3 linked regions of the Cricetulus griseus genome follow. The protein of the gene in region 2 interacts with the protein of the main gene of each other region in a biochemical or structural test. Links are inferred from orthologs where the notes say so. Each region holds a gene or a part of one and is shown on either strand. Other genes may lie near its edges.

Region 1 (9,821 bases), on a different chromosome or scaffold from region 2:
TGCTATTAAAGGCAAGCGTTACCACAGCAGTGGGGTTATTTGTCGTTTGTTTGTTTTAATAGACCAGGTCTCAAGTAGCCCTAGTTGGCTTCTAATTTGCTATGTAGCCAGGGATGACACTGAATTTTTCATCTTCCTGTTCTACTTCCCAAGTTGGGATTAAAGGTATACACTACCATTCCCAATTCATTGATGCTGGGAATCAAATTCAGGTCTTAGTGCATAGTAGGTAAACTCTATAAAATCTGATACAGCTCCTTAGTTAGGGGTTTCTTTAAACTAAAGAAATCCTTTTATACCTGTTTTAAATTAAGCTTAGTTCTTTTTGGTTTTGGTTTTTGTGAGACAGGGCTTCTCTGTAGCTCTGGCTGTCCTGGAGCTCCAACTGTAGACCATGCTGACCTCAAATTAAGAGACAGACCTGTCTCTGCCTCCTGAGTGCTGAGACTAAAGGTATGGGCTACCACCTCCCGGCTTTGTATTCTAAGATCCATCCTCATTGTGGGACTAAAAAGTGCTGGGATTAAAGGCATGCACGACACTCATTAAGATTTTTTTTTTTTTTTTTTTACATTTATGGCATTTTGCCTGCATGGATGTCTGTGTACCACATTCATGTAGTATAAAAGTCAGAAGAAGGACACCAAATCCTTTAGAACTGGGATTATTAGATGGTTATTTGCTGCTATGTGGATACTAAGACTCAAATCTTGGTCCTCTGGAGCGGCAGCCAAGTCCTAAGCCATTTCTTCAGCCCAAACTGTTCTTGAGTTAAAGAATACATTTAGGTTTTATTATGTATAGTCCTAGTTTTCCTTAGCTTTGTGATAACAGGTACCTCTAGTCTATCAATATCTCTAAGGTAAAATTCAATTTCACATACTACTTATAATATTTGATGAATAAATGATGGCTTTGGCAGCTAGAATCAAGCAGGATGGAGTTTATAACCGTGGCTTAGGGGTCTGTTGGGAAGATCAGCTCACTATTTAATTTTTTTCCTCAAATTGGCCTCCTGGCTAGGTCTAAGGCAGAAACAGCTCATTTTGGCCCCAGGGAGTCTATCAGGTGGGTCAATGTCGAACACTGCATCAAGAAATTCACCTAAATTTCAGAAATTCAGAAGACAGTATGGTGGCAATACCTATAATTTCAGCACTCATGAAGTGGAAGTTGGAGGCTTTTACCAGACCAGCCTAAGCTATATAATAAGACTGTATCTCATTGGAGAAAAAAAAAAATTACCAAAATCAACCAACCAAAAAACCCTATGTAATGCTGGTGAAGATGGCTGAGCAAGCCAATCACTAGAGTTTAATTAACTGGGGACTCATAGTAGGACAGAACCAACTCCAGAAAATTGTCTTAACATCCACATCCATGCTGAGCCAAGAGTGAGCTCATATACATACAAACAAATAAGTACATGTAAAAAACCAAAACTGGGCAGTGGTGGCACATGCCTTTAATCCCAGCACTTGGGAGGCAGAGACAGGTAAATCTGTGAGTTCAGCCTGGTCTACAAAGCCAGTTCCAGGACAGGCTCCAAAGCTACAGAGAAACCCTGTCTCAAAAAACAAAGAACAATCAAAAACCCCTACCTTCAAACAAAGAACAAAAATATAGTTCAGAAGTCTGAAGCAACCAGTCCTAGGAAAATTCAGCTACACAGATTTAGTGTAGAATTTGCTTAAAACCCAGAATTTTAGTATTGTATTTATCTTGTTAGAGAATCCACATTCTTTCCAGGAAGCTGCAGAGCCTTGGACTTTTTAGGTTTACTCACTTGCAGAGAAAGTTACATGACTATCCATCAAATGGCTTGGCTAACAACACATCTTTCAACACCTGTTCTACAATCCACCCCTCATACTTAGATTATTATTATTTTGAGACAGAGTCTATGTAGAACATGCTATCTTCAAGCTTACAGAGATCTGTTTGCTAAGGGCTAGGATTAAAGGCATGCATCACAATACCCAGAATTTAAAAATAAATAAATCTTTAAGTAGGGTAGGTGCACACCATGGTTGAGGAGATGGCTCAGCAAATAAATCACCTGCCATTCAAGCCTAAGGACCAGAGTTCAAATACCCAGAACATCTGTAAATGTGGTGAGGGCTACTTATAATTCACAGGTGACAAGAGATTCCCAGAGAAAGCTGGTTAACTGACCTAGCCACATGGGGGAGTTCTAGGTTCAACTGAGATCTTGCATCAATACCCATGCACACACTCCATACATATGTGAAAACATTTTAATTAAAAAATAAAAGGTGGAGGTGGGGATGCTGCAGAGATGGCTCCTCAGAGGTTAAGAGTACTCCCTGTAGCCAGGCGGTGGTGGCACACGCCTTTAGTCCCAGCACTCAAGGACGCAGAGGCAGGTGGATCTCTGTGAGTTCTAGACCACCCTGGTCTACAAGAGCTAGTTCCAGGACAGCCTCCAAAGCCACAAGGAAACCCTGTCTTGAAAAAATAAATAAATAAAAAAACCAACCAAACAAACAAAAAAAAGAGTACTCCCTGCTCTTCCAGAGGTCTTGAGTTCAATTCCCAGCAACCACATGGTGACACACAACCATCTATAATGAAATCTGGTGCTCCCTTCTGGCCTGCAGGCATATATGCAGGCAGAACACTGTATATATAATGAAGAAAAATTAAAAATAAAAGGCCAACCTTCAGTAAATATTATTGCTGACAAACTTGCCTTAGTTTTCAAAGCACATAACCGAAACTATCCCCTCAATACTAAAAGAAGTAAAAATGGCAAGCACTAATTTTATGGATCTATCATCAGGAAGGGGGAATTCTGAAAAGTTAACTTTGGTTGCACCTGAGGTATCCAGAATCTGAGTTTTACAATTCATAGAGTGGCATCAATCATCTAATTTATAGTTTACCTGGCACCACGTGGCCTCTGAGACCCTCCAGTTCTTGCCCTCAAAATAGATCCCGCTCTTCTCCTCGTTCTCACTGGCCCCACACTATGGTCTGAAGGTGGAGGTCTCAGCAATTCCAGCATGTTATGAAGTCTCTGCAGCCCGCTGATGAAGTTGTTCATTGAAACTTCTGTAGCAGCTCGGACAGTTTGGTTAGCACCAGATTCCTCTCTACGCTCCTCAGAAGTCCCTGGATTGGCAGTCTCCATATTTTCTTCTGAGGGCTGTATTTCCTCTGTTAAGTCAATGGATGCTGGTGGCAGAGGCTGCAGTCCGCTTTGGCTGCTGACCACTTCAGCAGGCCCAAGTTGACCAAGTGCTCCTCCCTGGCTATTGGCCACTTCAGCAAGGGCAGGCTGGAGGAGAGGTGCCCCTTGGCTGCTAACTTCAGTTGGAGGAGCCTGTTCTATAGTACCATCTATTGGTACTTGAAGATCACAATCCATTGCTTCATGAGCCATCACTAGGGACAGAGTATTTGTGAAACATGTTAGTAAAATAGGTAAAGCAACAACAACAAACAAAAGAACATGTTATATAGTTGATATAACTAGTCTTTCAGAATTTCTGTTTAAGATTCTTTCTAGCAAAACAGAGGATTTAAAACAAACATAATACTGCATGACAGGTAATATTAATCTTTCATAGCATCAAAAGTAACAAAGGAAGCTGGGCATTGGTGGCTCAAGCCTTTATTCCCAGCACTCGGGAGGCAGAGGCTGGCCTTGAACTCGGAGATCCCGAGTTCAAGGCCAGCCTGGTCTACAGAGTGAGTTCCAGAACAGCCTTCAAAACTACAGAGAAACCCTGTCTCCAAAAAGCAAGGGGGAAAAAATAGTAACAAAGGATATACAGAAATGCCATTTTTTTGGTACATGTGGTGCTGAAGGACTGAATACAGGGCTTTGTACACACTAAGTATATTGCTCTACAACCTAGCTCCACCCACCTACTCTCAGGCAAGCCACAGAAGACATTTTTACATTTGCAAGATAAAATTTAAATTTCTTTGAGAAAAACTGTAAGTGAGACTGGGGACTACTACTAATGCTTAGTAGTAACCTAGTATACACAGGTATTTCCATTAATCCAGGCACACATACAATTACATCAAAGCCAAACTTGCTGGGCTTGGTGACATTATCTGTAATCTTAGCACCAGCAGGGAGAAGGCAGAGGCAGGAGAATGGGGAATTGGGCTACAATTTGAACTACAAAGCAGGTTTCAAAAACGCGAACTACTTGGCAAAACTTTATTTTAGTAAATAAATTTAATTAATTAAAAATAAAGTCTAGCCGGGCAGTGGTGGCACATGTCTTTAGTCCCAGCAGTTGGGAGGCAGAGGCAGGTGGATCTCTGTGAGTTCGAGGCCAGCCTGGTCTACAGAGCAAGTGCCAGGATAGGCTCCAAAGCTACACAGAGAAACCCTGTCTCGAAAACCAAAAACCAAAAAAAAAAAAAAAAAAAAAAAAAAAAAAAAAAAAAAAAAAAAAAAAAGTCAGGATTGAATCAATAAAGGCAGAATGTAAGGACCACACAATTGTCCACTCGTGTTTACTTCCTACAGCCAGCCATTTGAAGTTTACAATTAAGTTAGTTCCTCGATCGCACTGGTAGAAAGCAATAAACACCTTTCCCCAAATCCTGTACACGAACCCAGGATTTTGTCTAAAGCAAACCCACGGGCCCCACTGCTTCTTTACCTTCAGCACGTTACAAAAACGCTAGACTGATGACCACGAAACGTCAGCGGCACTCAAAACGTGAACTTAGGCCGGGCGTTGGCAGCGCTGACCTTCAATCCCAGCACTTGGGAGGCAGAGGCAGGAGGTTGACCTTCAATCCCAGCACTTGGGAGGCAGAGGCAGGAGGATCTTTGAGTTGGAGGCCAGCCAGGTCTCCAGAGCGAGTGCCAGGATAGGCTCCAAAGCTACACAAAGAAACCCTGTCTCAAAAAAACAAAACCAACCGAACAACAAAACAAAACAAAACAAAACCAAAACCGTGAACTTCATATCTGCCATCTTACAAGGAAGCTTGGCAACCACAAGGCAGGGGTGGGGGGCCCCAATAAACAGGACGTCGGGAGGCCGTGGGGATTCAGTTTGACCTGGGTTCAGATAAAGGTTCCCCCTTTTAGTACCTGAAAACCTAAAGTAAGTTTCCTGTCTGTGCAAGCCTGCTCACCCGCAGAAAAGAGATAAAGGAAACACTTACGTCACAGCTACACTGGAGGGGTGGAGGTAAATTTTCAGTTCTGCTAAACAGCCAGTAACAAGGGCCAATGAGTACGGGGGGGGGGGGGACGACACCTGGAGAACTACTCCGTCTGGAGCCGGCAACCAGAGCATGCCGAACCGCGCCTCAGCTCCCTCCGGAGATTCACGTCGTTTCCGCCTTTCTCGCCCCAGACCCCCATATTCCTCGGGAATGCAGGAAGCAGGTTCGAGGAGCTCCGGACGAAGGAGACCGCTGAGTTCCCAACCCGCCCTCAGCCAACCTGACTAGGCCCCGCGACCAGGCACGGGCCGAGAGAAGACAATCCGCATCCAGGGACACGAGGCCCGAGGAGAAGCAGGTACTCGCCTCACCTCAAACTGCAGGGGCCACGTCCGCGCCCCGACCGACCGCGACTTGTGCTGTCGTTACCGCGAAAACTCGGGTCGCCTCCGCGCCAAACAACTCTGCAGTACTCGCGGCTCAGCGAGCTCCCATTTGTCAGCCACCAATGGCGACGACCAATCCCCTCTCTTCTTCTTCCATTGGTCGCCGCTGGCTGAAATAGTGGCGCTCTCATTGGCCGGCTCTTGATACTTACTTGGCCAGAACTTCATGCAAGGAAGTCTCATACAATTGGTAGAAACTCATGTCCGTCATCTCGTGCCCAGCCCCTAAAGGGGTAGAGCCTAAGAGTTTTCTTGCTTTTCTTTTTTTTCTCTTTCTTTCTTTCTTTCTTTCTTTCTTTCTTTCTTTCTTTCTTTCTTTCTTTCTTTCTTTCTTTCTTTCTTTCTTTCTTTCTTTCTTTCTTTCTTTCTTTCTCTCTCTCCTCTCTCTCTCTCTCTCTCTCTCTCTCTCTCTCTCTCTCTCTCTCTCTCTCTCTCTCTCTCTCTTTTTAAAAACCGTTCTGCATTTGAACAGTCTAGCAGGAAGAAGACTGAGGAAGAAAATTCTCCAATTTCTTCACTTTAAAACCACTCCAAACCGGGCGGTGGTAGCGCATGCCTTTAGTCCCAGCACTCGGGAGGCAGAGGCAGGTGGATCTCTGAGTTCCAGGCCACCCTGGTCTACAAGAGCTAGTTCCAGGACAGGCTCCAAAGCCACAGAGAAACCCTGTCTCGATAAACCAAAAAAAGAAAAAGAAAAAAATTATTCCAATAAATTACCTAGGAAGTCTAAATTGCTGCACAAGATTTTTTCAATCATGTCTCTGAAAGAAGAAATCTTCCTTAGATTTTTTGTTTGTTTTGTTTTAAGAGCAGCCAGTGCTAGGCCCTGACCTCTGCTGAGAGCCCTCATCCAGTGGCTGATGGAAGCAGAGGCAGACACCCACAGCAAAACACTGAACTACTGAACTGAACTCTGGAACCCAGTTGCAGAGAGGGAGGAATGAAGAACAAAGAGGTCTGGACCAGGCTGGTAAAACCTACAGAAACAGCTGACCTGAACAAGGGGGAGCACATGGACCCCAGACTGATGTCTGGGAGGCCAGCACGGGGCTGATCCAGACCCCTAAACATGGATGTCAATGAGGAGGCCCCGGTACTCTATGGGGCCCCTGGTAGTGGATCAGTATTTGTCCCTGGCATAAGAAAGGACTTTGGAAGCCGGGCATGGTGGCGCACACCTTTAATCCCAGCACTCGGGAGGCAGAGGCAGGCGAATCTCTGTGAGTTCGAGGCCAGCCTGGTCTCCAGAGCGAGTGCCAAGATAGGCTCCAAAGCTACACAAGAAACCCTGTCTCAAAAAACCAAAAAAAAAAAAAGGGGGGGGATTTGGGAGCCCATCCCACATGGAGGGATGCTCTCTCAGCCTGGACACATGGGGGAGGGCCTAGGCCCTGCTCAGGATGATATGACCGACGTTGGAGAACCCCCATAGAGGGCCTTACCCTCCCTGGGGAGCAGAGAGGGAATGAGGTGGGGTCTAGTGGGGGGTTGGGAGGAGGGGAGGGAGAGGAAGAAGGGATTGACATGTGAAGCAGCCTTGTTTCTAACTAATAAAAAATCATCTCTTGGGGAAAAAAAAATAAGAGCAGCCAGTGCTCTTTTTTTAAAAATATTTATTTATTTATTTACTTATTAAGTATACAGGGTTCTGCCTGCATGTATTCCTGCAGGCCAGAAGAGGGCACAAGATCTCATTACAGATGGTTGTGAGCCACCATGTGGTTGCTGGGAACTGAACTCAGGACCTCTTGGAAGACCACCAGCTGGTGCTCTTAACCACTGAGCCATCTCTCCACCCCCACTTGTAGGTTTTTAAAAGCAAAACTTCAGACACAGAGTGTACATTGCCACAGTTTTATTCAGCTACCAATTTTTAGAAGAATTGGTAGTAGAGAGCAATAGAAATAATTTTTCAAATTTTTCTTCTCTACACTTGTTACCAAGGCCAGCATCAATTTTATGTATTTATTTGTATTTTATGTGAATTGGTATTTTGCTTGCATGTATGTCTGTGTGAAGGTGTCAGATCCCCTGGAACTGAAGTTACAGACAGTTGTGAACTACCATATGATTGCTGGGAATTGAAGCCAGGTCCTCTGGAAGAGCAGCCAATGCTCTTAACTGCCGAGTCATCTCTCTAGCTCTCCAGCACTAAATTACTTTTCACCTGGGCATTGGCTGGGCAGTGGTGGCACATGCCTTTAATCCAGAGGCTGGAGGATATCTGTATTTTTGAGGCCAGCCTGGTCTACAGAGTGAGTTCCAGAACAGGCTCCAAAGCTACAGTGAAACTCTTGTCTCGAAAAACATCAATACTGAGTAATTTCCAGCAAATTTTTTAATTAAGAAATTAGTAAGTATACCACAGTGGTATAGTATTTATCTAGCATCTTTGAGGCCCTGGGTTCAAGATGCAGTACTTGAATAATAATAAAAATGAAATAATAATAATACATTAGTACTACATGGTTAAAGAAATTTAGACAATGTAAAGGGCTTCTCAGTGAAAAGTAAACATTCTAAGTGTTCTGATAGGATATCCAGTCATGATTTACACTTAACGCTTTAATACTTCCAGTACCCTTTAAGCTAACAAGCTGGAGTAGACTCCTGGAACAAAAGATGAGCTGCAGAAGAACAAAGTGTTCCAGCCTTGCCAGTGTCCAGCATGTGGGAGAAGCTCAGTGGCAAGCATCTCAAAGGGTGGCTTAGCTGCTTGTACTCCCAGCACTCAGGAGGCTGTTAGGGGAGGACCTTGAGATTCAGGCTAGTCTGAGTTATAAAGTAAGACTCTGTCTTAAAACTAAAATAAAAAATAAGAAGCAATGGCATAGAATTCTTTCATATATAGCATTGTTAACAAGAAAACAATGCATCTATGGAGAAATGATGCAACAAAGGAAAGGAATTTGGGACTCTCAAAGGCAGGAGATGATGGAAGAGAAATATATGGGAAGATACTACTAGTTCAGGGAGGTTTTGCTTACAAATTGCCATGGACAGATAATAATAATCTTGGTAAGGAATTTAAATCCTAGCTGGTTGTGTTAGCTCACACCTAACATCCCAGGATTCAAGGTACTGAAACTTCAAGGATCACTATAAGTTTGAGCATGCATGGGCTACGTAGGGAGTTTCAGGACAGTCTGGACTACAGAGTAAGAACCTGTCCTAAAAAGCAAAAGGGACGGGAGAGATTATTTAGTGGTTGTGGTAGTCTGAATGTAATTGGTCCCCATGAGGTCATAGGAACTGGCACTATTGGGAGGTGTGAATTTGTTGGAATAGGGATGGATTTGTTTGAGGAGGGCTTTGAGGTCTCATATATGCTTACGTCACGCTCAGTGTCTCAAACCACTTCTTGTTGTCTGCTGATCAAGATGTAGGACTCTCAGCTCTAGCGTCATGTCTGTCTGCACGCTTCCTTATCCTACCATGATGATAATGGCCTAAACCTCTGAAACTGTAAGCCACCCCATTAAATGTTTTCCTTTATAAGAGTTGTAAGGATCATGGTATTTCTTTTTCTTATTTTAAAAAATTATTTTTCATTTTACATACCAACCCCAGTTCCCTCTCCCTCTCTTCCTGCCCTTCCATCTCCCCTACTTCCCCTCGCCCCCATGTCAATGAATCCAAAGGTCACCTACTCTTACCCAATCCTGAACAGCCAAGGCACGTACCACCCTGCTTTCGAGATTTTCCTTTATAAACCCCTTGCAATTGAGGCCAGGCACCCCTTTTCCTGCAGCTGCTGTGCCAGTTTGCTGGACAGGGTTCCTGCTGAGGCTTGTAATTTAACATTAAACCTTGTGCGTTTGCATTAGTGAGTTGGCTCCTTGGTGTACTTTTTGGTGTGTGTGTGGGGTCTCATGAACTTGGCATAGGTTTTCTTTCTAATCTCTTTTGTAATAATTTATTTATTTTATGTGCATTGGTGTTTTGCCCACCTTTATATATACATGAGGTGTCAGATTCTCTGGAACAGGAGTTACAGACGGTTATGAACTGCCATGTGGGTGCTGGAAGAGCAGCCAGTGCTCCTAACTGTTGAGCAATCTCTCCAGCCCCAGTGGAATTGTTTTCTATTTGTTGTTTTTTTTTTAACTCAGACACTTTTTTTTAAAGATTTTATTTATTTATTATGTATACAACATTCTGCTTCCATGTATATCTGCACACCAGAAGAGGGCACCAGATCTCATAACG
Region 2 (9,774 bases):
TTGGATCTCTCTTTCTACCTTTATGTGGTAGGATTGAACTTTAGGTTTCAAGGATTGAACTCAGGTCACCAAGCTTGCATATTAGATGGTCAGGCTTGTTTCCTACAGAAGCAAGCATTTTCTTGCTAAGCCATTTCACTGGCCTTTTTTATTAAAAACAAAAACATAACCCATGTTATTTTTGCTTAATTAGGGTTCAAGGCCAATGCTCCTTACCCTAAAATGAACTGCAAATGTTTATCTGGTAAAAGCATTCTTAGTTGTGGTCCTAAGAGAAAACATACAGTTGGATGGACCTTATCTGGCAGTCTTAGTTTGCTCATCTCTACTTGAAAATACAGTCATCTCACATTACTCTTCCCTCAAGCCTCCGACAACTAGTTTTCTACTGTTGTTCAACAAATTCCACAAACTGAGCAGCTCAACACAGCTGCCATTTATTACCTGAACAGTCCTGTGGGTCAGAAACCTGAGCCTCTCTGCTCAGGTTCTTACAATGTGAGAATCCTCTTTGGAAGGCCTGGGAAAGACTCCCAGGCTCACTGGGTTGCTGGCAGACGTCAGTTTCTGTGATTGTCTGAGGTCATTACTTCCTATAGCATGTGCCACCTGTGTTTCCCCAGTACCCACTGTGTCTGTTACTATTTTCTGTCTACTCTCTGAGCTCATTCTGCTGTGATGCAGACGAGCTGAGCTTTTGTGCTATTGCTTGAATCTGCTGGGTGCAAATACACTCATCTCCTTTCCTGGTGATCTTTGTCATTTGATGTTTTTGTCCCAATTTTTATTATATGTGCTACTGAAACAATCACTATTTTTTTTTTTTTTTTGAGACAGGATCTCACTATATAGTCCATACTGGCCTGGAACTCTCTAAATAGACCAGTCTACTGCCTCCAGAGTGCAGGGGCTAATATTATTGATTGCCACTGAGCAATCAATAATATTGACTGAACAAGTGATCATGTGGTGCTCAGCCCCAACTGATACATTTACAACATAACTCTTGCAGCTAAGGCTCAGGGAACATGGAGGAAGAAGAGGGTGGAAAGAGACTCTTAGAGCCACAGAAAGTCTGCTATGAGATTGCATCTCCTAGAAATGCCAGGGGAGCTACACCTATGAAGACTCAACAGCATGGCTGCCTAAACAAGACCTGACTGAATAAGGATGACACCAATATAAAGGTTAACCTGAAAGGGGGAAAAATTCTCACAGGGGCCCAATGTTAGATATACTACAAGCAACTAAGGAATGTTGAGAGTGGGAGAAATAACAGTCTCCTCCAGGAAACCAGCCTCTAGTTGGCTATTCAGTACCAAGTGGTCAGTCCTAAAGTCATACACATACAAACAGGCAGATTGTAGTTATATATTTAGAAATACACACACACACATACACTATAACTTAAAATAAGATGAGGTCATGAATTTGAGAGAGAGCAAGAACAAGGTGGGAAGGGGTACATGGGAAGGTTGGAGGGAGGAAATGATGTAATTTCAGAATATTCAAAATTAAAAATAATATTAATTGAATAACTGAAATGGGAAATTCCACTGTTTTCTACATATGCACATGTTTATTAGGTTGTGATGTAAAATGTTTATTTTACTAATGAATGTAGCCCATAGAATTTGAAAATTACTGGGGCTAGACTATATGACCTTTAGGGTTCTTTCCCAACTATCGCATTTAATGAATTTCTTTGGGCAGCTACACAATATGCACCATATAGTCTTTGAGTGACAGAAAGGTTTATGGCCTTGGGACTACAGCAAGACACTAAATTCCTGAAATATAACCCATACCAAAATAGCAAACTAGTCATCCCTACACATTCTGTAATCACAGACTAGGGAGAAATGTGAAAACAGACAAGGACTGCTCAGTGCCCCATAATACAAAAAACACAAAGCTACTCTTCCAATCAGAACAAGATATAACTTCAGATCAAATGACAAGAGACAACGTTTTCCAGATCAAAATTTCCCTAAGGTTTCCATTCACTTACTGAAGAAGGGAAGAGGAATGAAGAAAGATGCCACTCAAAGTCTCTGCTGTAGAAATTTCGTCCTGCACAGACTTCGGGAGTAAAGCCCACTTGTTAAGAAGGTAGGATTTCCACTCATCCACAGGCAAATCCATGCTGTCTTAGCTCTGCAATGTCAGAAAATAAGCACTCAGCTTTCTATAAATGCACAATTGTAGAAAAATGGAGATTTCATCCAAGCAAGTGAGAAGCAGCAAAATCAACTCTTCAGGTCTTCTCTATAGTTTCTGATATGCCGAAGCAGATAGAATCGGTGGTACCAAGTCACTGGACATCCTGTCACGCAGAAATATTCTTTGGAAGACTGTTCGAGAAACTATGGTAGATAGTGGTTATATAAACATATTTTTGGATTCATATTCCAGTCTTTCTAGACCTATTTACCCTAGTTGTCCAAGGCCTTCACCCCAGCAACTATGAAGTTAAAGTTTCAATTTCTTTCTTTCTTTCTTTTTTTTTTTTTTGGAGCCTGTCCTGGCACTCGCTCTGGAGACCAGGCCAGCCTCGAACTCAGAGATCCGCCTGCCTCTGCCTCCTTAGTCCTGGGATTAAAGGAATGCGCCACCAACGCCCAGCAAAATTTTAATTTCTAAGATGGTTCAGTTTTCTGTTTCAACCTCCAGATCTTTCTTTCAGCTCATAGCTCAGGCTTTTGCTGTTTTTTTTTGTTGTTGTTGTTTTGTTTTGTTATTTCTTTTTGAGATCGGGTCTTCCTATATAGCCCTGGCTGGCTTCAAACTCACAGAAATCTGTCTGCTTCTACCTCCTGAGCAGTATACCACTCCAGATCCCCAAATTTTTATTTTTGAGGGTCTCATGTAGTTTAGGCTGACCACGAATTTACAGTGTTGTTAGGGATGACCTTGAACTTTTGCTGCCTTCGCATCCCAGGGGCTGGAATTACAGACAACACTCCAGACTCTCCAGTACTTTTGCGTAGGCCATTCGTGCTTTTAGGAACACCATTACCCTCTCTAGGAATCCATCTGACAAATTCCCATGCAATTTGACTCAGTTTAAACCGCATCTCCTCTCCAAAGCTTCACTGATCCCCCCTCCCCCACCCCGGAACTTCACCACACATGTGACCTTTATCGCGTCTCCCCTGAGGCGGGGCTCATGGTGCCTCAAATCCCAGGTCGGACAACGCTCTTCTGAGGGCGGGGACTGAGTCTGATTTACCTTGTTTATCCCACAGTGTCAAGCTCTGGGCCTGGCACGCGAACGGGGCACGCACTGCGTGATGAAGGACTCAAGTCACTGCTTTGACTATATTTAGCAGCAGAGTTACCAACGCACAGGTCCGATTGTCCCCTGGGCTGCCATTCTGTCCAACCGCCAAACGGGCGGGCAAACTTCCGACAGCTGGCAAGAGACCCGCTCAGCCGCACCGCGCAGACACAGTCGTACCGTGGTCCAGCGCCCCGCCCTCGGTTCCCGCCATCCCGCCATCCCGCCACTAGGCCTCGAACCCGGCCTCACGGGTCACGTGCTCCGCCCGCCGCGCGGTAGCCAATGGGGTGGCTGCCGGCGCCTAGGCCCGCCCCTCGTACCGCGCGCACGTTGGGGCTGGGAGATGCACGCACAGAGGCTTTGACCAATCGGTGAGCAGCCCGCGGTACCCCGGCAGTGAAGCTCGGGCAGTGCTGGAGCTCCAGCGCGGGAGTTAGTGAGGCAGCCATGGTGGGACACCTGAGCGAGGGGGCCATTGCGGTAAGGAGACAACCCGGGACCGGGCCGATGGCTCTGGCAGCACGGGCCTGGAGCGGTGCAGAGCAGACAGGGGAGGGAGCAGACGGGAGAGCCTCGGGGAGGATATTGCGTGGCCTCGGGGGAAGCCTCCCGGGGTCTCTGGTCAATACTCTTTCCGCGAGGCATCCCGGTTCCGCATACAAGCTCACGTTTCTTTTACTGCCTACGAAAACTAGACAAACATGCTCCTATTTACCTTCTGCGGCCTCTCTTTCCTTTCTTTCGCATCACCTCCAAACTTTTCTAGAGTTGTTTGTTTTCTTTACCTCCTCAACTCTTGACTCAGATTAGACTTTTCACTGGTCACGAGAGAAAACGTTGTCAGAAGTCGCCAGTGGCTTCCCAAGTAGCCAAGTCGGAAGACGTTTTTCGGTTTTCAGCTGACCTTATTGTTTGGGCTTGCTGGCCATTGCTTCTTTCTGCTAACACTACTCTCTTGCTAGGGTTCTGTGACTTAACGTCGGCAGCTCTTTCCTTGCAGGCCCGTATGTAAGTTTTTGTTGACTCAAAGCCCTGTGTAGACTAGGTCTTCATCTGCATGTCAATTCTTAATTTTTTTCTGCTGAGCTACCTTCGATCTAAACGACTCTCTCTGCCCTCTACCCTCAGAGTCATCTCAAATTGAACATATATCAGCAAATCCATTATGTCCTTTAGTCTGAATTTTAAAAAGAATTACGTGTGAATGTATGTATATGCACGAGTGCATATGTTTGATGTGGTGGGGATGGCGAATGTGCCTGGGAAGCCAGGGGACAACTTCCTGAAGTTTTTGGTTAGATCCCCACTTCTCTGGGGATTGAACTCAGGTATCAAGGCTTGCACAGCAGGCACCTTTACCCACAGGGCCTTCTTGCTGGCCCTCAGTCTGAATTTGTGGATGTCTCTGTCTCAGTGAATTACACCATTTTTTAATTTATACTCATTAGAAACTAAGGAATCCATCTCCCTACATTATGCCTGACTGGATGCCTAACTCCATCACCAATTGAAGTCTGTTTTAACTCCCCACAGATCTCTATTTTACATCGCACTGGAACAATCATTTGTTGTCTGAACTAGTCAGTTTCATTCAACACACTCTCTTCCCCACAGTCCCTGCTTACTGACCCCTTGACAGGCCTTGTCTTTTTTAAAAAAAAAAAAAATAAATAAATTCTTGCCCTAGAGGCTACTGATCATTATTCCTATTTTTTTTTTTTTTTTTTTTTTTTGCTAAAAGACATTCCAGTTCAGCTCAGTTGTTACTGAGTTGGTTGGCAAAGTAACTAGACTGAATCCATTTATTTTGAGACGTTTAATTTCTTTTTGTTCCCGTATTATAGTATATATGACTTTGGGCAACATTCTGAACTCTTTCTCTTGTCTGTAAAATAAGGGTGGTACTGAGTACCCATTGCACAGGGCTAGTTAGAGGATTGTGTTTCTGAACTTAGTGTTTATCCCCTGCTAACATCGCATCATCACAGATGTAAATGCACGTTTATTTGACTTGTATTAATTACTTTGTGGTTCCTATACTAGGTTGTAGAGACAGGCCTACAACCACGTCCCGTGTCCCTTCTTTCAAGTTTTAGTGCCTAGTAAATGTTTACTAGATGTATGAATGAGTGAAACAATGGAAAGAAAGGGATAAAGGTGGAAGGGAGAAAAGAACCAGCTTAGAAGAAAATAAACGGGAAAAATAGTTGTCAGAAAGCAGAAAGGGCTCTTTGGCTACATTAGGGATGTATTAATGTTGAAGCTGGGATTTGAGTTTTGAATTGTCCTGATTAATATTATGGCTGCCACCTTGTACCCTTAAGGCAAATTACAAATGACTTTTTACTTTTATAAAGAATGATCGAAAAAGACAAACATGATATGTACTCACCCATATGTGGATTTTAGACATAGAGTAAGGGATTACCAGCCTACAATCCACACTGTCAGAGAAACCAGTAAACAAGGAGGACCCTAAAAGAGACAAACTTTGTCTCCTGGAGAAGGGGAAAGGGTCACAATCCTCTGAGCAAATTGAGAACATGGGAAGAGGGGGAGGGAGCTACGAGAATGAGAAGGGAAGAAGAGGAAAGATGCAGAGGTCATGAGGGAGCAGAAAGGTTGAGTCAGGTGTAGATTAGAAGAAAGGATATTCAATCGGTAGGGTTTTAGTTGGGGGGGGTGGTAGGGGAGGAAGGGAGGGAGAAGGGAACTGGGATTGTCATGTAATTCAATCTTGTTTGTAATTCAAAGAAAAAAAAAAAGAATGTTCGTGGGTTGGAGAGATGTCTCAGAGGTTAAGGGCACTGGCTGCTCTTCCAGAGGTCCTGAGTTCAATTCCCAGAAACCAGATGGAGGCTCACAACCATCTATAATGAGATCTGGTGCCCTCCTCTGGTCTGCAGGAATACATTCAGAGAATGCTGTATAAATAAATAAATCTTAAAAAAAAAAGAATGTTCATAGGGTTATTTAAATAATTTGATAAAGTTTTTCTTAAATAGAAACATTTTAGAAAACTGTTTCCGACATTGGGTGAAATACTACTTAGACTTTGATCATTAAGTCGTGGGATTTTTATTTATTTATTTTAGGTTTTGTAAGTAAAAAATGTTTTTGTTTGTTTTTAAAGACAATCCAGGCTGGCCTTGAATTTACAGTGATAACTGCCTCTTCTGGGAGTGCTGGGATTAAAGATGTGCCATCATGCCAGGCTCCATAGTGTTTTAATATGTGTTGACGGTGATGGATTGTGGAGACCCCTGGTTACCTGATTATTAGCTAACAAGTGTCATTTTAGCACAAAAGCTTCAGGCCCCAAATGGTTAAGCAAATGGCTGAAAATAGAGTTATTTGGGGGTAGAAGTTATGATAAAATGAGGTTATGCTTGGAACTAATGTGATAAGTAGGATAAGTACAAGACTATATACTTACTGTCCCCAGGGGTGGAGATCGAACCCAGGACCTCAGATGTGTACACTAGGCAAGCACTCTACTGCTAAACTATACTCCTGGACAGCCCATTGTGTATATCTTTACATAATTTAGTTATAGAGAGAAAAAGGCAAGGAAATTAATATTTTTATGATTTCCAATATCAGTTCATTTTTTATTATTAATGTCACTTTTTACAGCCAAAGGTGTTAAAATGCAAAGAGGTATAAACTGTCCATTCCTTTGACTGTTATATTTTGTTGCTTCGTTATTTTTACTAGTAAGTTTTTTGGAAATTTTAATATATATATTATATGGATGTTATGTCTACATATACTTCTGCATACCAAAGAGCATCAGATTGCTTTGTTATAGACAGTTGTGAGCCACCATTGAGTGCTAGGAGTTGAACTCAGAATCTCTGGGAAGAGCAACCAGTGCTCTTACCCTTGAGCCGCCTTTTCAGCCCCAATTTAAATACTTTTAAGTGTTTGTGTTATGCTGTGTCCCAGAGAATATTTTTCCTTTGAGTGTTTATGATGCGTTTTAAATTAAGAACAGTAAAGTAATGACAGATGTGGTTTTAAGGTTGAACAGAATGGAAAGGTGCTTAATGAAACCATTGCCCTTTGCTTCACCTTGCTCAGTGGCTTATTTGTTTGTTTATTTTTTGGGGGAGACAGGGTTTCTCTGTGCAGCCCTGGCTGTCCTAGAACTCACTGTTTAGACCAGGCTGACCTCGAACTCAGAGACCCACCTGCCTCTGCCTCCCAAGTGCTGGGATTAAAGGTGTGTGTCACCACTGCCTGGCTGACAGTGTTTTTAAAACAGGGTCTTGCCATGTAGTCTATGGCCTCTGCCTCACTGTGGAGCCCAGACTAGCTTCCACCTGTGGTAGTCCTCCTACCTCTGTAGTGCTGGGATTACAAGTGTGAGCTATCACACCCAGGGCAGAAATAACTTTTCAAAGAAAAAGTTGTTCATGGGGGCCTGCAACATGGCTCAGTGGTGAAGTATCAAGCCTCATGTTCAGAGTTTGATCCCCAGCACCTGCACGGTAGAAGGAGGGGACTGACTCATGCATGTTGTCCTCTGATCTACACGCACACTATGAATAAGGATTAAAAAACAACAGTCTTCCAGCTGGGTTCTGTGGAACATTTCTGTAAACGAAGTAAGGCAGAGGTTGAAAATTCAAAACCAGCTTAGGCTGCATAGTAAGATCCTGTCTCAAAAAGGATAAAGGAAGAAAAAAGGTCCAGAGATGTAGCCAAGTTGGTAGAGTGCTTGCATGCTTTTCGTGAAGCCCCGGGTTTAATCCCCAGCATTGCACAAAATTTCTAATGTGGTGGTTGGTCTGGGTCAGTCATCTCAGAACTTGAGAGGATTGGTACTTATCTACACAGTAAGTTCAGTGCCAACCTGGTCCGTATGATACCCTCCCCAAAAAGTACACAAGGATGGGGGATTTGTGCTTTCAGTTTTGCTTTTTTTTTTTTTTTGGAGAAACGGTCTCATTATGCTACACAGATTGGCTTTGAACTCCTGGCCTCAGTCATTTCCTGTTTCAACCTGCTAAATAGCTGGGACTACAGGCCTGTACTATACTAAACCCAACTTTATTTTTATTTTTTGGCTATTGTAAATGAAGATGCTTTGAACATTTATGCGAAAATCTTTCTACATATAAATATTTAAATATATCACGTATAAATTATTCATAACATACATAAATTATGTAATATGTATTAAGTTTCTTGTATATGTAAAGTAATCCAGATATTTACAGATAAATATCTGAGAGTGCAGTTGCTAGGTCATATGGTAACTGAATGCTTAATTTGATAGAAATCTCCAACTTTTCCACAGTGTTTATGAAAATTCTAGTTGCCACTGCTCAGTGCCAATCAATCTCTGTGTTTTGCTATCCTGATGAATGTGTGAGTGTAATGCTGGCTCACTGTCATCTTTGTATTTCCTTGATTAGGAATGACATTGAATATCCTTCAGTGTCTTTATTGTCCATTTGTATAGCTTATGAAGTGTCTACATTTTTTTTTGTTGTTGTTGTCTTGAATTTGGTTTTGTTTAGAATGTAGTAGTTCATCCCAGTGCAGGAGAAGCTGGGGGATCAGGAGCTCCAGGCTAGCATAAGCTACAGAACAAGCGCATGTCCTGAAGTTTGTGGCATTAATGAGTTGGAGGAATTTATTTTGTGCATGTCTTTTGTTAAATATAAACATCACAACCATTTTCGCTTTCATTTAAGGTTGTTTTGTTTTGAGACAGGGTTTCTCTGTGTAGCTTTAGAGCCTGTCCTGGAACTAGCTACCTCTTGTAGAACAGGCTGGTCTCAAACTCAGAGATCCGAGTGGTGGGATTAAAGGCGTGAGCCACCACTGCCGGGCTTCATTTAAGGTTTTAAGGGTCAGACACAGGGCCTCCACACTAGACAAGAGCTCAACCGCCGAGACATACCCCCAGCTTGGCCTTTCCATTTTTTTTTAAACATCTGTTTATGTGAGTGTGGGTACCCGTGTACCACTGAACATAGGTAGAGGTCAGAGGACTACTTAACTTACACAAATTGCTCTCCTACCATGTGGGACCCAGGGTTTGAATTCAGGTCACCTGGCTTGGCAGCAAGCACCTTTACCCTCTAAGTTATCTCATTGGCTTCTTTTTGTTTCTTCCTGAGGAAAGATCTCACTTTGTAACCCTGGATGGCTGTAAGCTCACAGAGATCTGTCTGCCTCAGCCTCCCGAGTGCTGGGATTGAAGACATGCGCAATGGTGGCTGGAGAGATGGCTCAGTTAGTAGCACTGGCTGTTCTTCCAGAGGACCCAGGTTTAATTCTTAGCACACAAATAAACGCTCACAACCATCTGTAACTCCAGTTTTCCTTTTCTGAATTGTACTCTTAATTTTTTACTTATCTCTAGGTTACAAATCTTTTGTCCCTTGTTTTTCTTCTAAAGTTCTAAAGTTTAGATTTGCTTTCAGCCCTGTGAGCCATTCCAACTTTTGGTTGGTTAATTAACGAGTTAGTTAATT
Region 3 (9,721 bases), on a different chromosome or scaffold from region 2:
CTCTCTTTCATTACTGAGCACTGCACTTGCTGAGGGTAGCTAGTAAATAACCACAGCAGCATTATTTCCTTTCAGAGAAGTGATGGCATTAACATATGTGCTTTACTGCTGAAGTAAAGCAAAGCTGGGGGTTGGAAGGAGCCAGATCTTGCTTCTGTCTATGTGTCCAGGGTGTGGTGTGGAGTAGGAGCCTGAATGCCTTACAGGGCATTCAGGGTCACTCATATGTTAGCTTGGGTCTCTGAGTAGTTCAGGTTGGCTTCAGTGTAGAATAGGAGGTGGTGTCCTCTTCTCCAGGGCTGGCCGAGTTCTCCAGCTCTCCCCCAGTCCTCACAGTGGCCTACCCCCTCCCAGGATGCAGTCATGCTGCACAGCTTCACCCTTCGCCAGCAACTGCAGACAACCCGCCAGGAGCTGTCCCATGCTCTGTACCAACACGATGCTGCCTGCCGAGTCATTGCCCGTCTCACGAAGGAAGTCACTGCTGCTCGAGAAGGTGTCTCCTCTTCCCTGCTGTTCCCTACCCTTTGCTGGCTCTGCTTTGTAATGTCCCATTTCTAACATCATCTTTTCTCTCAGCTCTGGCTACTCTGAAACCACAGGCTGGTCTTATTGTACCTCAGGCCGTGCCAAGCTCACAGCCCAGTGTTGTGGTAAGTGTTCCATTCCAAGCCCCAATAGCTGTCCTTACACAGGTGCCTTTGGTATTGTGAGTTCCTCCCATTCTCCCTTTCTTTTCTCCAGGGTGCAGGAGAGCCCATGGATTTGGGTGAGCTGGTGGGAATGACCCCTGAGATTATCCAGAAGGTGAGTCATATGCTCTTTTGCTGGGAATGCCACATGTCCTCCTAACTCAGTGCCATGGGTCTTGGGGCTAGAGTAAGAATCTCACCCTGAGCAGTGGAAAGCCTGCCCTGCCACTCTTGAGTTTTCTGACTAGGCTGACTTTAGCCTGCCTTTCTCTGTCTCATTTTCCTTGCTTCTTTTTTTTGTTGTTGTTTGTTTTTGTTTTTTTGAGATAGGGTTTCTCTGTGGCTTTGTAGACTGTCCTGGAACTAGCTCTTGTAGACCAGGCTGGTCTCAAACTCACAGAAATCGCCTGCCTCTGCCTCCCAAGTGCTGGGATTAAAGGCGTCACCACCGCCCGGCTCCCTTGTTTCTAAATAGAGTGAGGTATGCACTTCACAGGCTTGTTGTAGGGAAGACTTAATTACTGATAAGGGCAGCTTATAGCTCTTGCTGTTTTTGTGGTCTTTGCTGATATTAAACCACTTTGTGACAGGTTTTGCTTACAAGATAGAAGTTATCTTAAGATGAGGAGTCTGTGACTGTAAGTCATAGCTGAGAAGGGGCAAGGCAGGCTTCCAGACTGCATCGCAGGGTTCTGTTGAATGTACAGTCTGCATTTGTGGGGTCCAACAGTGTCTGAGTTCTAATTTTTGTACCTTAGACCTGGTCCCAGAACACAACAGCCTAGCTCTGTCCCTACTAGTTCTACCATTTGTCACTTTAGTAACCTTGGGTGGGGGGAGGTGAGTCTTTTGATGTTCAGTTTTTTCAGTTGTACCATAAGGTCATGGATACCTCACCTTATAAGACCAGAGTGGAAATGTGTCAGCTTTAGCACATAACCTGGCAAATAGCATGTTTTTGGTGATGCTTATGATACCAGATGTACCAGCACCCAGCGTGCTTTGTCCTTGCAAAATCATTTCTCAGAAAATTGTTCTCCACAGCTTCAAGACAAGGCCACTGTTCTAACCACGGAGCGTAAGAAGGTGAGTTGACCCCTGGTGTGAGCATTTGGCTTTTTGGAGGAGGGGCTAGTTGAAACCTATATTCAATTGCTGCTCTTTGGGGTCTTTTCTGTTTTCTCAGAGAGGAAAGACTGTGCCTGAGGAGCTGGTGAAACCCGAAGAGCTCAGCAAGTACCGGCAGGTGGCATCCCATGTGGTAAGTAGCTGGAGGTGACTCTATTTCTAGGGCAAGATGGGCCAGCATGAGGAGCAGGGGCAAATGCTGCTCAGGCCTCTGACATGGTTTCTTGCCATGCAGTGAGGGAGTTGCTGCATCCAGGCAGCCAGCCAAGCTGGATGGATAAGGGATAAAATTCACTCTTGTTCCTTGCCTGAGGAGGAATACCAAAGGGTATAGGGAGTGGAGGAGCTGTGTGGCTCTCTGGTCTGCCTTGATTTGGCTGTGACTGGATTTTGTGTGGTTCTGTCTGCATAGGGGCTACACAGTGCTAGCATTCCTGGGATCCTTGCTCTGGACCTCTGTCCTTCGGACACCAACAAGATTCTCACTGGTGAGTCTGAGCCTGGCCTGATAGGTCAAGGTGGGAGATGGCAGGAGCAAGGGAAGGTGCAAGCCCCTGGTTCTCTGCATGGATTTGAGGACAGAAAGACCTTCTTTAGCACTGGGATCCTTATAGGCCTGATTCATTTTTTTGTCTTTTTTTGGATATTTTATAGGTGGGGCAGATAAAAACGTTGTTGTCTTTGATAAGAGTACTGAGCAAATCCTGGCCACTCTTAAAGGCCATACCAAGAAGGTCACCAGCGTGGTGTTTCATCCTTCTCAGGTAAGGTACTTTCACAGCCACCCTTGTCCTTTCCTAAGTCCTGTTCCAGTAGTTTTGAGTTTCAGAACCAATCACCCAATCTCTACCTTTTTGATGAACTGAACTGGGCATTGATGGGTCTCTGTGTAGAACCCCAAAGCTGTGGCCCTCAAACCAAAGGAGAAGGAAAATGCAACCAACAAAGCACATTCACATCAATTTTGCATTAGGAAAAGAAAACAAACATCCTAGAGCGTTTATAGATAAACTACAGACAGTAAAGCTCTATATAGTCCTGACTGCTAGGTGTCTGTTCCCATGACACCCTGTGTGGTTGGGTTCAAAATTAAATGTTGGCTGTTGAAAGTGGTGTGAGTTCAAATAGAAAAGAGGATAAAGGTAGCTATTAGAGGAGATTAATGGTCTCATAAGAGTTGAGTACTGTGGCTTGGTATGCAGCTGCATGGGGTGCTGAAACAGTGCCTCCCAGTTAAGTCTTTCTCTTAGACTTAAGGAACTGAGAAATAGAGGACTATTTGTGTCTTAGTGCTCTTTTGCTATGAAGAGACACCATGATCACAGCAACTCTTAATAAAAGAAAGCATTTAATTGGGGGATTGCTTCTTACAGTTTCAGAGGTTAGTCCATTATCATCATGGCAGGGAGCATGGTGGCAAGCCTGACACTGGGCCAGTAGCTGAGACAGACAGACAGACAGACAGACAGACAGACACACACACACACACACACACACACACACACACACACACACACTGTTTGACATGGGCTTTTGAAATCTCAAAACCAACCTATTCCCAATGAGATACTTCTCCAACAAAGCCACACTATTAATCCTTTCAAATAGTGCCGTTCCCTGGTGATTAAGCAGCCACATATATGAGCCATTCTCATTCAAACCATCACAGCTATAGCAAACTGAAAAACTAATTCAAATTGAAGTACTTTTTTTCCTGTTTATTCGTTGTTAGTATTACTTTTGGCTTTTATGAGTATGTGTTAATGAAAGGATAGTTGCTGTTATATTCTGGCTGTTACTGTCCTAACTAGTGGAAATAATTTATTTGGGAAACTAAATAAGCTCTCTGTCTGCCCCAGGTCTTTTGGACAATCAACATGCCCTTGGGTCTAAGTGTGAGGAACATGGGAACATGACCTTATATTCCTTTACAGGCTCAGTCTGCTCGGATCTGTGCCATCTAGTCCAGTAGTCTTTAGCTGCAGGTGCACATGATTCCAGTCCCTCAGTTCCACCCAGCTTTAAAAGGGGGCAAAAATAGCTCTCAGCTGCAGTTGCCCTGTTTACTACTAAGTAGTGAGGGTCTCAACTTGGCTCAGTGTGGCCATTTCAGCAGCATTTATTTTTCTTGGCTTTCTTAGGCACTGTTGTTTAGATAGGTGGTTACAGGCAGAGAGGGACTAGAAGGAGAAGCAGTTGCTGGTAGTTATGGCTGTCCTTTTCACTGTGGAAAAGGGTGTTATAGTACATTTCACTTCCTAGGATCTGATTCTTGGTTGCTTTCCTTTCAGGAACTGGTGTTTTCTGCATCCCCAGATGCGACTATCAGGATTTGGTCGGTCCCAAACACCTCCTGTGTACAGGTTGTTCGAGCCCATGAGAGTGCAGTGACAGGCCTCAGCCTCCATGCTACTGGAGACTATCTCCTGAGTTCCTCTGATGATCAGGTACAGTCCCAGCTAGGGCCCTGAGGAGGCTGCCTACTCACCCTGGGAGGAAGGGCCATCTTGCTGGGGCAGCCAGATTCCCAGAGTTCTGGAAAGGTTTTTTCCCTGTTGTGGGAGCTATCTTTGCCAGTAGGTGCTGAATCAGGGTCTCAGCTACCAGACCTGCTTACTCATTGGCTTCTTTGTCTCACCTCCAGTACTGGGCCTTCTCTGACATCCAGACAGGGCGCGTGCTCACCAAGGTGACAGATGAGACTTCCGGCTGCTGTAAGTGTCCTTAGAGGCACTGAACTCTTTTGTTTGCAGTTTGTCTTTAAGTTTTACTTAGTCATTTGCTTATTTGTTCTAAAGACAGTGTTTACCACTGCACCAGTGTAGAGGCCACGGTGACTACTGACTACAGATCCCTGTCCCCTTTCCTCAGCTCTTACCTGTGCACAGTTCCATCCTGATGGGCTCATCTTTGGAACAGGAACCATGGACTCCCAGATCAAGATCTGGGACTTGAAGGTAGGACATGCAGGCCTCTTAGAGAAGGAACTGATGAGGTGTGTCAGCAGGCCCCAGGATTTCTCAAGGCTTAGGAAAGCCTGGCTTTGTTTGTGTGGCATGGTAATGTCACCAAGGAACTGTGGGTGCACAGGACATGAAGTTTGGTAAGCCCCTTCCTATCTTAACCCGTAAGTGATAATTTTTTGTCCAACCACCACCTGTAGGAGCGTACCAATGTGGCCAATTTCCCTGGCCATTCTGGCCCCATTACCAGTATCGCCTTCTCTGAGAATGGGTACTACCTGGCCACAGCAGCCGATGACTCTTCAGTCAAGCTCTGGGACTTACGCAAGCTGAAGAACTTTAAGACATTGCAGCTGGATAACAACTTTGAGGTGCGCTCCTCCCCAGTCTTAGTTGTTTGTCCTCACTCCCTGATGGTTTCTGAGTTCATGTGAACTGCTTCTCTTTGTCCCAGTTGTTCTGTGGCTTGACATTTGTGTAATTGCCTTTCTTTGGGGTTTGGCAGGTGAAGTCACTGATCTTTGACCAGAGTGGTACCTACCTGGCTCTTGGGGGTACAGATGTCCAGATCTATATCTGCAAACAGTGGACAGAGATTCTTCACTTTACAGGTAGAGGCTGGCTGTGGCTTTCCGGGGCCTTGTACATCTGCTCTAGGAAGCTTCACTTGGTGGTGAAGCTCTGGGCTTGGCCTAGATAGGCCCAAACTATTCCTACTTTTGCTGTCCTGGGAGTGGAACCTGACCAAGTTTCCTACTACTGAGCCCAACCCCCAGGCTGCTTTTACTTATGTCTGGGGGCAGTAGAGCATTGTAGCCTAGGAAAAGCATTTGTGAGTCTGTTTGGCTGTGAGTTGTGTTACTACCTGGCCTCTCCCAAGTTGTGTGTTGAGGAGCAAATTCTGTAATTTGTAATCTCTCTGGTGCCTTAGGAAAATTGAAATGATAATTTCAAACACTCAGTAGGAAATATAGGGGTTTACATGAAAGTGCATGCAACTCATAGGTTAGCAGTGTCTTGTGGTATATTATTTGGTATTGGCTCTTGATTTGAGCAATGAAAAAGAACCAGTCTGGGAAGTAATGAAGGTTTTTTTGTTTGTTTGTTTTGGTTTTTTGAGACAGGATTTCTCTGTATAACAAACCCTGGCTGTCCTGGAACTTACTTTGTAGACCAGGCTAACCTTGTACTCACAGAGGTCTTCCTGTCTTTGTCTACCAAGTGCTGGGACAGTAGATGTGCACCACCACACCTGGCATGTTTTTTATCTTTTTTTTTTTTTAAGATTTTATTTATTTATTATGCATACAACATTCTGCTTCCATGTATATCTACACACCAGAAGAGGGCACCAGATCTCATAATGGATGGTTGTGAGCCACCATGTGGTTGCTGGGAATTGAACTCAGGACCTCTGGAAGAGCAGTCAGTGCTCTTAACCTCTGAGCCATCTCTCCAGCCCATGTTTTTTTTATCTTTTGTCAACTTTATTGGGGTCTATCATGTGTGAGTGATGAAGTTTAAAGTCAAGTTAGGCAGTTTTCCTTTGTGTGGAGATGGAGTCTGGGGCCTTTCCCACAGTAGCAAGTATTCAAGCCCCAACACAAGTATAACTACAACACAAGGATAACTAGAAGTAATAAAGGGAAGTCAGGCTGACAGTGGTGCACAAGAGGGTTTCTCACCTTAGAGTCACCTATGGCCTTGAGTAGCTGCTATAGCCTCAACTTTAGGGGATCTTGCTGGGTGTGATAGCTCACACCTGTAATCTCAATTTTTGATAGCTAAACTAGAGAATCACCTTGAGTTTAGGCCAGCTGGGAGCACAAGAGGGCTTTTCTCTGGAGAGTTGGTGAGATCCGGGTGTTTTCTTAACTCTGGAAAGAACCTGCCCTGGTTCTCCATCTGAGTCCTGTGAGGAAGATAGCTCAGCTTTTTCTATTCTGGATCCAGTCCTGTATTGTGTGCCCTGGACTTTGACATGTTTGAGCTAGAACTGGCTAATGGACCATTCCAGGTCCAAGCAAAGAGCTAAAGGTAAACATACATACTGAATGAACACTGAGTTTTCCAGCTGAAGTATGCTTGCCCAGAAAGCTCAGGTGAAAGGGAATTGGTATTCCTCTGTTAATTTATCCCGCCAACAAAAGATTGAGTACCTCCGCTTCTTGCCAGGTGCTGAGTCCTGGTTAAAATAAGTGGTGAACAGAACCCTGTCTTTGGGAGGGTGTCTTACAGTGCCTTCTGACCCTTACCATCTGGGTTTGTGCCAGGGTCATGGCATTCAATGTCATTCTTCAGCCCCGAAGAAGAAACAGCCTTCTTTCTTATAGTTCCCTTTTTTCTCTCCTCAGAGCATAGTGGCCTGACCACTGGAGTGGCCTTTGGTCACCACGCCAAGTTCATCGCTTCAACTGGCATGGACAGGAGCCTCAAATTCTACAGTCTGTAGGCCCTATGCCTTCTCACAATTCTGGGCCTCATCTCAGTAGTGGGTTAGAGTTGGGGGGCGGGTGGGACCTTAGGAAGAGGGAGGTCTGGTGGGGCAGGGGCATTCACGTCATTTCATTCTGGTCTGGATGATGGTCTGAGCTAGGGTACATGGAACACTGCTATCCATGCAGCCTTCAGGCCCCAGGGAACGGACATGGAGGAACTGTCACCCTATAAATGCTCAGAGTTGTAGTCCGGCACCTCCCCCAGCAGTGGCAGCTGTTCCATGCCTGCTCTGTTTCAGCTCTTCTGAGACAGGGAGGTGAGCCAAGGGAACTGTGAAGGGGAGGGGCAGGAGAGCTTGTGCTGGTTTTTGTAAGCAGTGATCTAGTTTCATTAAAAAAAAAAAATCCACTCAGTAAATATTGTCATCTCCTTGCGTCCGTCTGCCAGAGAGACCCTGAGTTGGGAAGAACAAGGGGAGAGACCAAAATGTGAGACACTGGCTATCAGGAAGCCTCCCCTGCAGCAAAAATAAAGCCTAGAAGCCATTTGTCAAAAAAGTCTCCCCTGCTCGGGCAGGACCTTGTTTCCAGTGCCTCCATCAATCATGTTGTGCTTACTCTCTCACAAGCCTGAATGAAATGTGGTGAGGAATTAGATTAGCCTTAGCCTGTTGGTGGTTGCTGTGAATGGATTGTCAGGGGAACTTCAGTTGTGGGTGATACAAACTTGTTCCCAGCTGGCCAAAGAGATTTTCTTGACTGGCAGCTAATCCGCTGAAGTAGAGCTGCTCCCAGGGGAGACAGTTAATGCACAGTAAATAAAAAGTTAGATGGAAACCCTGGTGGGGAGGGGGGATTAATGTAGGGTCCTGTGACTGTGCTACATTTGGAAGTCACCTGGGGACAGGGGGCTAAAGAGGAGGAGAAAAGTTGTAGGTTCTGAGGTTAAGATAAAGGAGATGTGGAGTGGAAGGGCAAGTTACCATTAGGTGTGCCCAGGAGGGCCTTGGGACCATCCCCAGGATGCTGGTGTTGGGAGCCTGCTGTGAGGTGAGGTGTGTGTGCAGGGTTGGGGTGAGGAAAGGGAGCTTGTGTGTACAGATGAGAGACTGTTGGGAAGGAAGAGCTGAGAAGTGAGGCGTCACCTAGAGGCTGTGGACAAGTCAAGATAGTCTGTACTGTAAGCACAGCACAAAGCCTCTGGATATGTGCTGCCAGCAAGTCCTGGGATCCAGGAAATTCAGAGTTACCCGATCTGCCAGGATAGAGAAACCATCTGTTGTAGTTACTGTGCAGCCTGCTGCTCCCTGAAAGTGTATCCAGTAAACTTACAGTGGCTGGGGACATAGTTCAGTTGGTAAGTGCTTTCTAAGCAAGCATGAGACCCTAAATTCGATCCCTAGTGCCTAATGTAAAAAAGCCAGAAATGTCCTTTCTAAAAAGAGAAAATAGGTTTCTGAGACTTGGGCAGTAAGGGAAACACAAGGCCCAGGAGGGAAGACAGCTTACAAGGTCAGGATGCACTTGGAAGTCAAATGATCACTGAGGCCCCCCCAAGGTAAGCAGCAATTGTTCTGCAAATGATACAGGACCACAGGGAGCATCTTTGGTGAGTCATGGCCCATGCTGGGCTGGACTTTTCAGTGGTGAAGCTGCCTTTGTATCATCTGTGCTCCTTGCTCAGATTCCTACACATCTCAATAAACTTGATAATTCACCAAAAAAAAAAAAAAAAAAGCCAGAAATGGTGTGAAGTATGTGGTATGTGCGCAGATAGGGGAGTCCTAGCAAATACCAGAAATGTAAACAAATAGCCACCCCTCTTTATAGCATACCAGTTTATATAGTACATACAGATGGCCAGGAGTTGCAGGAACAAGTGAGGGTTCAGCGACTCTCTCCACCTACTTGTATGAGAGAATATTGACAGTCAATAGGCCCAGTCTCGGGGGTCTCTTGCTCATAGTTGCAGCTGCTCTGATGGGAGATAAAGCAAGCAACTCTCAGTTGGGGCTTGATGGCTTCTAAATGGCTCCACCTTCCTGTAGTCACCAGCCACACCAGTCCTAGTATAGGGTCTAGGAGCCTTACTAGGCCTGGTGAACAAAGAGAATGTGTTTGCTATGAAATGGATTGGTGCTTAGTGTACTCTAGAAGCATTTGAGTCTGTAAACATTCAAAGCCATGTCCTTTTACTGTGAAACTGACAGGGGGTCTATATTGTGCTTGAACTTGGAGCATCAACCAAAGAGGCCACTTGGGTGCAGTGTAATTAATCTCTGGCTCCCAGCTCAACCTGGCACCTTGGCAGAGCCCCTGCATCGCATGCCCCGGCCAGCAGGTGGTGCTAGTACTGTTCTGCAGGTGATGGTGTTCAGAGAAGCATCTTGACCTAAGCATCCCGTGAGTTGGCATTTGAAGCCTAGTTTCAGAGACAAAGCTGAGGCAGCAATGGGCAGCTAGTGACCTCCACAGGTCTCTGGGAGTCATGGTTAGTAGC

Evidence for each region.
Region 1: the proteins of Rpa1 (region 2) and Rfwd3 form a complex in vitro, tested with the Homo sapiens proteins (3 studies listed by BioGRID, with this or other methods). The link is inferred for Cricetulus griseus from reciprocal best matches to the Homo sapiens genes RPA1 and RFWD3.
Region 3: the proteins of Rpa1 (region 2) and Prpf19 form a complex in vitro, tested with the Homo sapiens proteins (2 studies listed by BioGRID, with this or other methods). The link is inferred for Cricetulus griseus from reciprocal best matches to the Homo sapiens genes RPA1 and PRPF19.

Annotation. Positions count from the first base shown.
Region 1 is NC_048596.1:187,707,837-187,717,657, forward strand, and holds the start of Rfwd3 (E3 ubiquitin-protein ligase RFWD3), read right to left. Parts: upstream 5,689-9,821; 5' UTR 5,538-5,688; exon of another isoform or gene 5,164-5,537; intron 4,794-5,163; exon of another isoform or gene 4,650-4,793; intron 3,409-4,649; 5' UTR 3,407-3,408; coding exon 2,907-3,406; intron 1-2,906. UniProt on the Homo sapiens protein: E3 ubiquitin-protein ligase required for the repair of DNA interstrand cross-links (ICL) in response to DNA damage. Plays a key role in RPA-mediated DNA damage signaling and repair.
Region 2 is NC_048600.1:88,799,299-88,809,072, reverse strand, and holds the start of Rpa1 (replication protein A 70 kDa DNA-binding subunit), read left to right. Parts: upstream 1-3,608; 5' UTR 3,609-3,730; coding exon 3,731-3,763; intron 3,764-9,774. Other genes in the region: SET and MYND domain-containing protein 4, read right to left, coding at 2,012-2,145. UniProt on the Homo sapiens protein: As part of the heterotrimeric replication protein A complex (RPA/RP-A), binds and stabilizes single-stranded DNA intermediates that form during DNA replication or upon DNA stress.
Region 3 is NC_048596.1:49,546,464-49,556,184, reverse strand, and holds the end of Prpf19 (pre-mRNA-processing factor 19), read left to right. Parts: intron 1-297; coding exon 298-496; intron 497-579; coding exon 580-653; intron 654-744; coding exon 745-807; intron 808-1,736; coding exon 1,737-1,778; intron 1,779-1,878; coding exon 1,879-1,953; intron 1,954-2,232; coding exon 2,233-2,308; intron 2,309-2,474; coding exon 2,475-2,584; intron 2,585-4,111; coding exon 4,112-4,267; intron 4,268-4,464; coding exon 4,465-4,534; intron 4,535-4,691; coding exon 4,692-4,777; intron 4,778-4,983; coding exon 4,984-5,154; intron 5,155-5,288; coding exon 5,289-5,394; intron 5,395-7,137; coding exon 7,138-7,235; 3' UTR 7,236-7,639; downstream 7,640-9,721. UniProt on the Homo sapiens protein: Ubiquitin-protein ligase which is a core component of several complexes mainly involved pre-mRNA splicing and DNA repair. Required for pre-mRNA splicing as component of the spliceosome.